Linked DNA regions of Arabidopsis thaliana. The protein of the gene in region 1 interacts with the protein of each later gene in a pairwise test. Each region holds a gene or a part of one and is shown in the gene's direction. Other genes may lie near its edges.

Region 1 (6,113 bases):
TTATGATGGCCCACAACAACAAAAATAACTAACAAATTTTTAGACCCTACACTACTCTTAGCATGCATGTGACAGCTTAAACTTAAATTTAAACAGTTAACATGAACAACCCCACTTGCACTAGGAAGACAGCAAATAGCAAACTTAAAGCAGTTTACGATTTCTGGTCTTTTAAGGCAAGGTTTAGTAACCCAGTAATTCCTTTTGATTTGAAATATATGAATAACCGAAATTAAAAAACAAAAAAAAAATCACAAAATACTAAAATTTGAAAGCCGAAATAATTCATTTTTCAATAGTTATAATCATCTTTTAAAAAGTAAGTTAGATCATAAAACCTAATATAAAACTTTTATTGGCAAAACTAATTAATCACGAGAAAATAATATTAAAGTTAGCTCATGTTATGTTTATATTAGGAATCTCTCATTTACTTTATTTTGTTTTGTTTTGTTTCTATAATGATATTAGGATTCAGGAAGACAATAAACAAAATATCAACAAGGAATCATGAAAGATACATTCGAACGGGCTCAGATCGACGCAGAAACAAAAAGCTTTGGAATGATTTAATAATACAAATTTGGCGGAAAGGTTTGAAGAATTTATACTTGGCATTCTATACTAGCGAACGAAAACAAAAGTTTAGTCAAATATTTAGGATTACCAAAAAATCAATATTCGTATACAAATGTGTTTTATTATAAACCATGATTTTTCATAACTTTATTCTTAGTTGTTTCAATTTGTTTTCTCTCATTTCTCGTTCCTATTGTAGAAAAAATTCCTGATTCTTTTTTCTTTTCTTTTGTTTTCCCATGTCAATTATAACCGCATTAGAAAAGGTTAGCACATGTTCATTTGCACAGAATGTAGTCAATGTACAATTCATCTATAATTTATCACCTTTTTGTTAAAAATATTTATAGCCATGTTATATATATTTTATCATGTTGTGTTTTAAACTCTAGATTTGTTCTTTCACAGTTTATGGGATTTATCATTTCATATATTTCCTCCTATGAGTAAGATGTCATTTTTAAATTCTTAATTAAGAATTTAGAAATCAAGTTTATTATTTTGTTAAAATTTATAAATTACGTATTTTTCCTTTATTAGTGAGATTAAGATATAAAGAGTCTAGCACACTAGAGAAATGAAAACATACATATATCTAGAAAGGGTTTATAAGAAATTAGTAAATGGAATCAGAACATGAAGGAGAAGGGAGGGGCCACCATACCGACGGGAATGAGAAGTATGGGACGGACAAGAAATCAAGTGTACACACATGAAAAAACCCACCACGTGAAGATCTCCTATTGGTGTGTCTTCTCCTAAGTACTAAGTATAAACCAAAGTCAAAACACAACAAAGACATATTGCTTGCGAGCCAGCGAGTGTGTCCGAGTGAGAAGAGAGTTTGGGACTTCACTGTTTAGAGAGCCTCATTCGCTACCTAGATTCGGTTTATCCACGTGGAGAGTTCACGTAGCTTCTATAATAATAATACATTATATAAGCTGTTTCGGTAAAATAATCTTAGAGTTTCACTTCCCATGCAAAAAGATTAAATGGACTACTATATTTTCTATATGAGTGTTTTGGAAATAATCTTCCAAGTTTATGGCTATTTAGTAAAACTCAATCCAAAATGAGAACAATAACTTTTTTTTTTTTTTTTTTGCAATGAGTACAATAAACTTATGATTGGTTTTGGGGACTAGAAAATAAAATAGAGACATATACTTTAAGAATAGTTGATGAGAAAATAAAACTTTTTTCGAAGAAAGAAAAAAAAATATACTCTGGCCCCTTACATATTCTGTCAAATGCCATTTTATTTTCTTTATTTTGCTTGGTCCATTTCTGGATTCCTGAAATGAACACACCATAATTTTCATGCCCATTTTTGTCCTCCCATTAACACTTACCAAACACCAAACGTACCTTCCTTCCTTTATATGTGTCTCTATGTCTATATATCACTCCCACCTTCAAATGCTAGGAAAGTGGACATCACACCATAGTCTGATAGTCATGAATCTCATCAAGTAGAAACCTCCAAAGAAACAGATTGCGTTTCCTCTTCTTCTTCCTCCTCTTTCGAATCTTATATTTTCGTGTCAAAAAAGAAACAAAATATGATGATATCTACCGCAAAAGCTCAATGTTTGCCACTTAAATTCTGTCTCATCTCTCAAGATTTTTGATCATCTCACACTTACTCCGTTCCGCATTTTACGCCTTTTCTTCACCATTGTTGCTTCTCGAATCGAAACCATATTGGTTTTGCAGCATTAATGGTGCACTGAGTCTTCTTAAAGCCGTTAACCTTTCCCTGCCAAATTCTCAACCAAAAAGAAAAAAAGATAACAAATGGGTCACAACAAGTTGCCATAAAGGTCCCAACAGAAGAAGAAAAGAGAAGTTTCCCCGTGTTGCTTTGTCACAAGCTTCATCACTATTTATAACTACCTTGCCAAGAAGAAAGCCTAAAAAGGTATAACAGTTTCTTTGTCTTTAGAGATCATCAAAAAGATGTCGATCTCTTGGACTCGAAATTTCTTCGAAAGATTCTGCGTCGAGGAATACAATATAGACACCATAAAACAGAGTAGTTTCCTCTCTGCCGATCTTCTACCATCTCTTGGAGCCAGGATCAACCAATCTACTAAGCTCCGCAAACACATAATCTCTCCTTTTAATCCACGTTACAGGTAATTTTCTCATCTACTAAACTCTGTTTTAAGTACTCTGTTTTCAACTATGTTTTCAACTATTCAGGTTATAAGTAGTTTTAACTACTCTGTTTTTACTCACGTTATAAGTATATTTAAAGACTCTGTTTTCAATCCTCTGTTTGTTGAAACAGAGCGTGGGAGATGTGGCTAGTATTACTAGTTATTTACTCAGCTTGGATTTGCCCATTTCAATTTGCTTTCATCACCTATAAAAAAGACGCGATTTTCATCATCGACAACATTGTTAATGGCTTCTTCGCCATTGATATTATTCTCACCTTCTTCGTCGCTTATCTCGATAGCCACTCCTATCTTCTAGTTGACAGTCCTAAGAAAATAGCAATAAGGTGAGAAACCTTTTTTCTTAACTTGAAACCTTTTATAAGTGAATGAGAATCTCAAAGTATGTTTTGAAATTGTAACATTTTCAGGTACCTTTCGACGTGGTTCGCTTTCGATGTTTGTTCCACAGCACCATTTCAGCCACTAAGCCTCTTGTTTAACTACAACGGAAGCGAACTAGGATTCAGAATTCTTAGCATGCTCAGGTTATGGCGTCTCCGGCGAGTTAGCTCGCTATTTGCAAGGTTTGCTTCTATGCTAACTAAGAGACCATACTCTTCTTAGGGTTTAACTAAGAAAGTGCTTACTCAAGTCTAACTAACTCTTACCTTTGCTTCAGGCTTGAGAAAGATATCCGTTTCAACTATTTCTGGATACGTTGCACAAAACTCATTTCGGTTAGTTCCAAAACAGAGCAAAACTAATCTCACTTATAATAAAGCATTTTAAGCTTAGGGCTGTCCATTTAGGTGATCTATTCTTAGGGTTTATTTGTCTTTTAAATGGACACCATATTAAAGCTAGTGACTTACACGTGCTTGTTGATCTCAGGTCACTTTGTTCGCTATACATTGTGCTGGATGTTTCAACTACCTGATTGCAGATAGATATCCTAATCCAAGAAAGACATGGATTGGAGCTGTGTATCCAAATTTCAAAGAAGCAAGTCTATGGAATAGATATGTGACTGCTCTTTACTGGTCCATTACGACATTAACGACCACGGGATATGGAGATTTTCATGCTGAGAACCCAAGAGAAATGCTTTTTGACATTTTCTTCATGATGTTCAACCTCGGTTTGACAGCTTACCTCATTGGAAATATGACCAACCTCGTCGTTCATTGGACTAGCCGAACCAGAACCTTTGTAAGTTTGATCACTTTCTTTTAGTCTAGGCATGTTCATTTCGGATAAAGGTTCGGGTAATAGCGTGGGGTTTACGTACTTTTGAGTATTTTAAGTTGACTAAAATAATATTGAGTATTACTAATCTGTAATGCTTTATTGCTTTGTGTTAAACAGAGGGATTCAGTGAGAGCTGCTTCAGAGTTTGCTTCAAGAAATCAACTCCCACATGACATACAAGATCAAATGTTATCACACATTTGCTTAAAGTTCAAAACAGAGGGCTTGAAACAACAAGAGACCTTGAACAATCTGCCAAAAGCAATCCGGTCAAGCATTGCAAACTATTTATTCTTCCCCATTGTTCACAACATTTACCTCTTTCAAGGAGTTTCTCGTAACTTCCTCTTTCAATTGGTAAAATTGTATTCTCTAACCTTTTTTCTTAACGTTTAATATGTAAGAGGTGACCAACTCCATGTACCTTTTCATGTTCAAGGTTTCAGATATAGACGCTGAGTATTTCCCACCAAAAGAAGATATAATTCTACAAAACGAAGCTCCTACTGATCTTTACATTCTGGTGTCAGGAGCAGTGGTGAGTGAAATATATCGGTTATATGTAAATATGTGAATAACAGTTAGGAATCTTGTAACATTGTGTATTGTACAGGACTTCACTGTCTACGTTGATGGACATGATCAGTTTCAAGGGAAAGCAGTAATTGGAGAAACATTTGGAGAGGTTGGAGTTTTATACTATAGACCACAACCATTCACAGTAAGAACAACCGAGCTATCTCAAATACTGCGGATAAGCAGAACATCGCTGATGAGTGCGATGCATGCTCATGCTGACGATGGACGAGTCATCATGAACAATCTCTTCATGGTATGTGAGTTATTATAGAAATGTTTCTATAGTTAAAACAAACTCTAAACTCATTTTTGGCTATAAAACTTTCAGAAACTTAGAGGGCAACAGTCAATAGCAATAGATGATTCGAATACTAGTGGTCACGAAAACAGAGATTTCAAAAGCATGGGATGGGAAGAGTGGAGAGATTCAAGAAAAGATGGCTATGGTTTAGATGTTACGAATCCGACTTCCGACACTGCTCTAATGGATGCGATTCACAAGGAAGATACTGAAATGGTTAAGAAGATACTTAAGGAACAAAAGATAGAGAGAGCCAAAGTGGAAAGATCAAGTAGTGAAACCGCTGGAAGAAGTTACGCTAACGATTCATCGAAAAAAGATCCATATTGCAGCTCAAGCAACCAAATCATCAAGCCATGCAAACGAGAAGAAAAGAGAGTTACCATCCACATGATGTCTGAGAGCAAGAACGGGAAGTTGATACTCTTACCATCATCCATAGAAGAGCTTCTAAGACTTGCAAGTGAGAAGTTTGGAGGCTGCAACTTCACAAAGATCACCAATGCGGACAACGCTGAGATTGATGATTTAGATGTCATTTGGGATGGTGATCATTTGTATTTTTCATCAAATTGAGTTTGAAAACTCGACTTCATTTATAGAGCATGTATATCTGCAGATAATGTATTTTTACCCGGTTTCATAGAAAAGTCTAGATTATCAAAAGCAGAGTATACAAAACTGACATTAATTGACACAAAAACACAATCTTATTTCACAGCTTGACTATGATACATTGATACCGTTCTGTTTGAACACAAAACATTATTCTACACGAGTCTTCTGCTTTGAACTTGTTTCACATGATAAATCAAGAAAATTTTATTTTTCTCTATTATCAATAAAGATTTTAAGAAATTTACCTATTAAAAAGACGAAATTTTTTTTTCAGAAAATTAAGCGTATATTCAGTTTGATTTATTTTAAATTTAAACACTTCAACATGTTTGTAATAAAAAAAAATCAAAATAAGAAATTCTCGAATGTATTTTATATTCAATCAACGAATAAAATAAATTATTCCACGAACATGAACTGCATGCGTCCCACCTCATTTTATACGAAATTTCCATGTTACCCTCTCTAATACTATTCTCCTTCCTCTTCCACAGACCCAATTTCGTCATTCAATTCCAAAACTCACACCTCTATATAAATCCAGCAAAAAGTCCCCAAAAAGTCACCACCACAAATCTCATCGAAATGTCGTCTCAAGAAACGAAATCAGATCAAAGAGA
Region 2 (4,459 bases), on another chromosome or scaffold:
CACCGTATCTCTTGTTGAAATCCTCCTTGACTCTCTCCAAGAAAGCCATTGGTATCTGCCTCCCAGCAGATTCAATAACAACAACACAATAGGCTGCATAACAACAGAGGGAAATGAGAAATCTTATTGTCACATTCCAACTAAAGCAAATTCGTGCATTGGACAACCAAAGCTTTCCAAACATAAAAATCTTCACAATAAACATTCCAAAGAAGCCATGCATAAAGCTGATTAAAATCAGAACGAAAACAACAGATTGCATATCCAATCAAGACATGGCATTGATTAGAAGAAAATCTGAATATAACACAATGCCACAAGAATCGAGAGCAACGAATATCCTACGAAATTCAAAGCTACACTGTTCTCGAACATTTGATTTCGAAACTAAGCATTCATAAGAAAACAGATGAACCAAGGCATAAACAGAGAAATACAGAGCAAAATCGACACAGATCGGGAGATAGAGACTTACTGAAGCCATTATCAGCGAGATAATTGAAAGTGTGACCGTCGCAATTGTAGGTAAATTTGTTGTTCGAGGACGGAAGTTTCTGGAGACACTGAGCGGCGACGGAGGTGAAATTGCCCTTGAACTCGGTATACTCGGCGAGGATCACCGTACCGCGAGCGACGAAGCTGTAGATCAACGATTGTTGTCCCATTCTTCCTTTTATCCAGATGAGAGAAAGATAAAAAAACGAAACCTAAGAACACCACAAAAATCCGATCGAATTGATGAGAGAGATTAGTAAGCGATGTAAAAATACACAAGGGAACGAGGGGTAGCGATGGAGAAAGCAGGACGCAGAGATCGGAGAAGAGAAACTATATGAGAGCGCTGGATTTGCGCGAGTAACAGAGACATTATTTTCCCTTTGGTAACGTTCAAATTTTGAATTTTTAAATATAAAAAGTAAATAAAAAGAAAAATTCATCATTTGTATAGTCGAAAATTGCCTTAATAAACTTTATTTTGGTAAATAATTCACGTCTAATTAATAATAGTATCTTCATGTTTTTACACCACGGTGGCTCGTTTTTCAATTCAAATGTGAAATGTTTATCAATGAGCATTTTAAAAAACAAATATATATATATATATATATATTATATATTGATTTTTTATAAAGAAAATTGCGATGTGTAAGGGATATTTGAGTTGTTAAATTTTCTATAAATTATATGTTATGTTACTTAAAAGAACGTTCAATTGATAATGTTGCAAACCTTCCTACCAAAAAAATTAAAATAATGTTGCAAACCTTTTCTTTCATTCCAATTCACTAACCTTCTATTCTAACCACAACCTAACTACCTAAATTTCAATTATTTGATTGTTGATCAAAATCTTTAGGAACACGTTAAACAAATTAATTAGCAGGTTCTAAACAATGCAGAGCAATTGTAGATGACAAGAGATAACGGTAGAAGTTCGAATTTTGTTGCTGTAACAAGATACTATGACTATGAGCTCCCCCCGTCCATTAAGAATTAAGAAATTTGGTTAATTACAACATTTGTTTTTATGTTTAAGCCTTTTGTTCGTAACTGAGCTAATACTGGAATCACTGATCAATGATGAATTTGGAAAAAAAGATATTTTGAGGAAGACAGAGACAGACTCTCTTCGACCATGGGACCTGAACTTGTCCTAAAGTTGGTAATTACTAATTTGTGCCATCGGCAGAGTCCACGAGCTTTTTGGCTGGATCCGGGCGGGTCCAACTTTCTCGACATTTGTTTGATCTCTCCGTTTTGAAATTGTTTTTTTTTAGTCCTTAAATTCAAGGTTTTATACTATTTTTGACCCAATCTGACTACCTTAAATGACAACTTTACCCTTGCCCGCTTTTCAACTTTTTCTTCTCCCATGTCCACTTTAGTCCTCGTTTTGTTCTTTCATAGTCTTCTAGATCTGTAGTTTTTTTCCGCGACCGCCCAAAAAATTCTCTGATCAGACGGTCGATTGGATCGGAGATTTAAGGTAAAGAAAAAATGGCGCAACAATCGTTGATCTACAGTTTCGTAGCTCGCGGCACGGTGATCCTCGTTGAGTTCACTGATTTCAAAGGTAATTTCACCTCAATCGCTGCTCAGTGCCTCCAGAAGCTTCCGTCTTCGAACAACAAGTTCACCTACAACTGCGACGGTCATACCTTCAATTACCTTGTCGAAGATGGATTCAGTAAGTCACTTTTCGTTTGATCTATGCATAGGTTTTAATCTTACACCATTCGGTGCTTACCTCGATTTGTTTCTAGGTTTATTTGCCTAACCTATCGATTCGTATGGATTTGTGCATCCTGAGTAGTCTGATTTCACTGAGGAACCGCATGAACCAAGCTTTTAGGGTTAGATCTATATTTATTAAACGCAATAAATCTCTGTAGAGTCTTACCTGTATAATCACTCAGATTTGGACAGAATCCGTGGTAGCTTTGGTTGATACTATGTGGAAGAACACCAACATTGATCTGAGACAGGGTTTTTACTGGTTGCTTTATTTGCGTATAGTTTCCTAGGTCATGGGTTTTGGCTGGCTTCATTTTTCAATGAAAATCTGGGGTCTTATTGTAAGCTTTTGTGACTATCCTTTAGTTGTTGTAGCCATATCAATTTCATATTAAATCAATGTCACCTGATTATCCCGTAAGGGAAGACAAGGAGATTGATTTTGTTCCTGTTGTACAGCCTATTGTGTTGTTGCGGTTGATTCTGCTGGGAGGCAAATTCCCATGTCCTTTTTGGAAAGAGTAAAAGAAGATTTTAACAAGCGATATGGTGGTGGAAAGGCTGCAACTGCTCAAGCAAACAGCTTGAATAAGGAGTTTGGGTACTTTTTCATTATCTCTTCTATTTGGATGATCTTCTCTTTTATATTCGTGGACTGACTCTTTTTGGTAACTTTGAAGCTCTAAACTGAAAGAGCATATGCAGTATTGCATGGATCATCCTGATGAGATTAGCAAGCTTGCTAAGGTGAAGGCGCAAGTGTCAGAAGTTAAGGGTGTAATGATGGAAAACATTGAGAAGGTTTGAATCTGACCCTTTCTGTCCTCAATGTATATATTTACATCTATGGTTGACCCATCTGAAAGAGCTCATCTAGTCATACTAAGTTACTGTGAAATCAATTACTAATAATTCAATGCATTACATCTTACGGGAAATGTCCAGTTTACCAATGTAACACCGCTTACATATGCGACTCATTATTTGCAGGTTCTTGACCGTGGTGAGAAAATTGAGCTTTTGGTGGACAAAACCGAAAATCTTCGCTCACAGGTTAGACTCTCTCATACCCTTATCTCCTGCATCTATTTGCCTACACTCACACACAAAGATGAACATGCTTTTTGAGTTCATAGCTGACTCATCCTATTACCATATCTTGTGTCTAACTGAACTCAAACTGCCACAGGCACAAGATTTCAGAACAACAGGAACGCAGATGAGAAGAAAGATGTGGCTTCAGAACATGAAGATAAAACTCATAGTGCTCGCCATCATTATCGCACTGATTCTCATCATCGTGCTCTCAGTTTGCCATGGGTTTAAGTGTTAAGCCCAGAAAATTCAAAACTTCTGAGATCTTTCTCACTCGGTACATCGTAGTGCCTTCTCTTTTATTGTTCGATCTTCAATCTAATGTTTCTGCTTGAATTGGTTTTGTATAGATAGACATATATGTATGCTACTCATTTGCTATATTGCTTGCATCTGATGACATTGATCCCTTGCGAACCAGTCAGTACTTGACAAGAGATCCGAAACTATTAAATGATTTTGTTGACTGAAGATTGCATTGTGGTGGTGATGATAAAAATTTGAGATTGTATTGACGATTATACGGCGTGATGTGTGCTGGTTACTTTAAATTTAGATAAGAGTAGTGCCCTCTCTATATCGTTACTAGGGATGGTAGTACATATATATACGTACGTCATATTCCGACCACCAAGGTTGTTTTGTTCAAACTCCTCCCGCAACGCTTGAGTAGATCTTGTCGGCCATCGGGTCGTTTATGAGTTCAAACATACGTGTTTACTCTGCTATCAGTAGGAGCAACCAATACAGAGTTTAGTAGTACATACAGAAGCATCTTGTCAAGAAACAACAATCTGTAGTCACAATGGTATAAATATTTGGGCTATTTTAGTTAAGTGGGCCGAATATTTAATGGGCCGTAAAACCTAATTTGAGATCCTGCAACCAAAACTTTCCCGCTAAAACACTCTCATTCCCGCTCAAGCTCACACCAGATTCCGATTTTCACTTTTGTTCACCGAGCACCAAATCCCAACAAAATTCCGATACGGTCAATCATATCAGAGAATGGAATTCGATATCCCATTGCCGGAGGAGCTTGAGCTTCTAGAAGCCAATTCTCATTTCTACGAAGAAGAAGATGAGTACCTAAACTTTGAGGAGCCGCCATATCCTTACCCAATCGACG

Evidence for each region.
Region 2: the proteins of KAT1 (region 1) and VAMP721 interact in a two-hybrid assay, tested with the Arabidopsis thaliana proteins (one study listed by BioGRID).

What each region holds. Positions count from the first base shown.
Region 1 is NC_003076.8:18,742,990-18,749,102, reverse strand, and holds KAT1 (1), read left to right. Parts: upstream 1-1,696; 5' UTR 1,697-2,541; coding exon 2,542-2,720; intron 2,721-2,875; coding exon 2,876-3,091; intron 3,092-3,175; coding exon 3,176-3,331; intron 3,332-3,426; coding exon 3,427-3,484; intron 3,485-3,638; coding exon 3,639-3,956; intron 3,957-4,112; coding exon 4,113-4,352; intron 4,353-4,434; coding exon 4,435-4,533; intron 4,534-4,608; coding exon 4,609-4,827; intron 4,828-4,902; coding exon 4,903-5,451; 3' UTR 5,452-5,593; downstream 5,594-6,113. Other genes in the region: AT5G46230 (hypothetical protein (Protein of unknown function, DUF538)), read left to right, coding at 6,079-6,113. UniProt on the Arabidopsis thaliana protein: Highly selective inward-rectifying potassium channel. This voltage-gated channel could mediate long-term potassium influx into guard cells leading to stomatal opening.
Region 2 is NC_003070.9:1,330,966-1,335,424, reverse strand, and holds VAMP721 (vesicle-associated membrane protein 721), read left to right. Parts: upstream 1-1,773; 5' UTR 1,774-1,998; coding exon 1,999-2,188; exon of another isoform or gene 2,189-2,694; coding exon 2,695-2,836; intron 2,837-2,915; coding exon 2,916-3,036; intron 3,037-3,225; coding exon 3,226-3,288; intron 3,289-3,424; coding exon 3,425-3,568; 3' UTR 3,569-3,959; downstream 3,960-4,459. Other genes in the region: VAMP726 (vesicle-associated membrane protein 726), read right to left, coding at 1-93, 476-665; CTF18 (P-loop containing nucleoside triphosphate hydrolases superfamily protein), read left to right, coding at 4,339-4,459. UniProt on the Arabidopsis thaliana protein: Involved in the targeting and/or fusion of transport vesicles to their target membrane.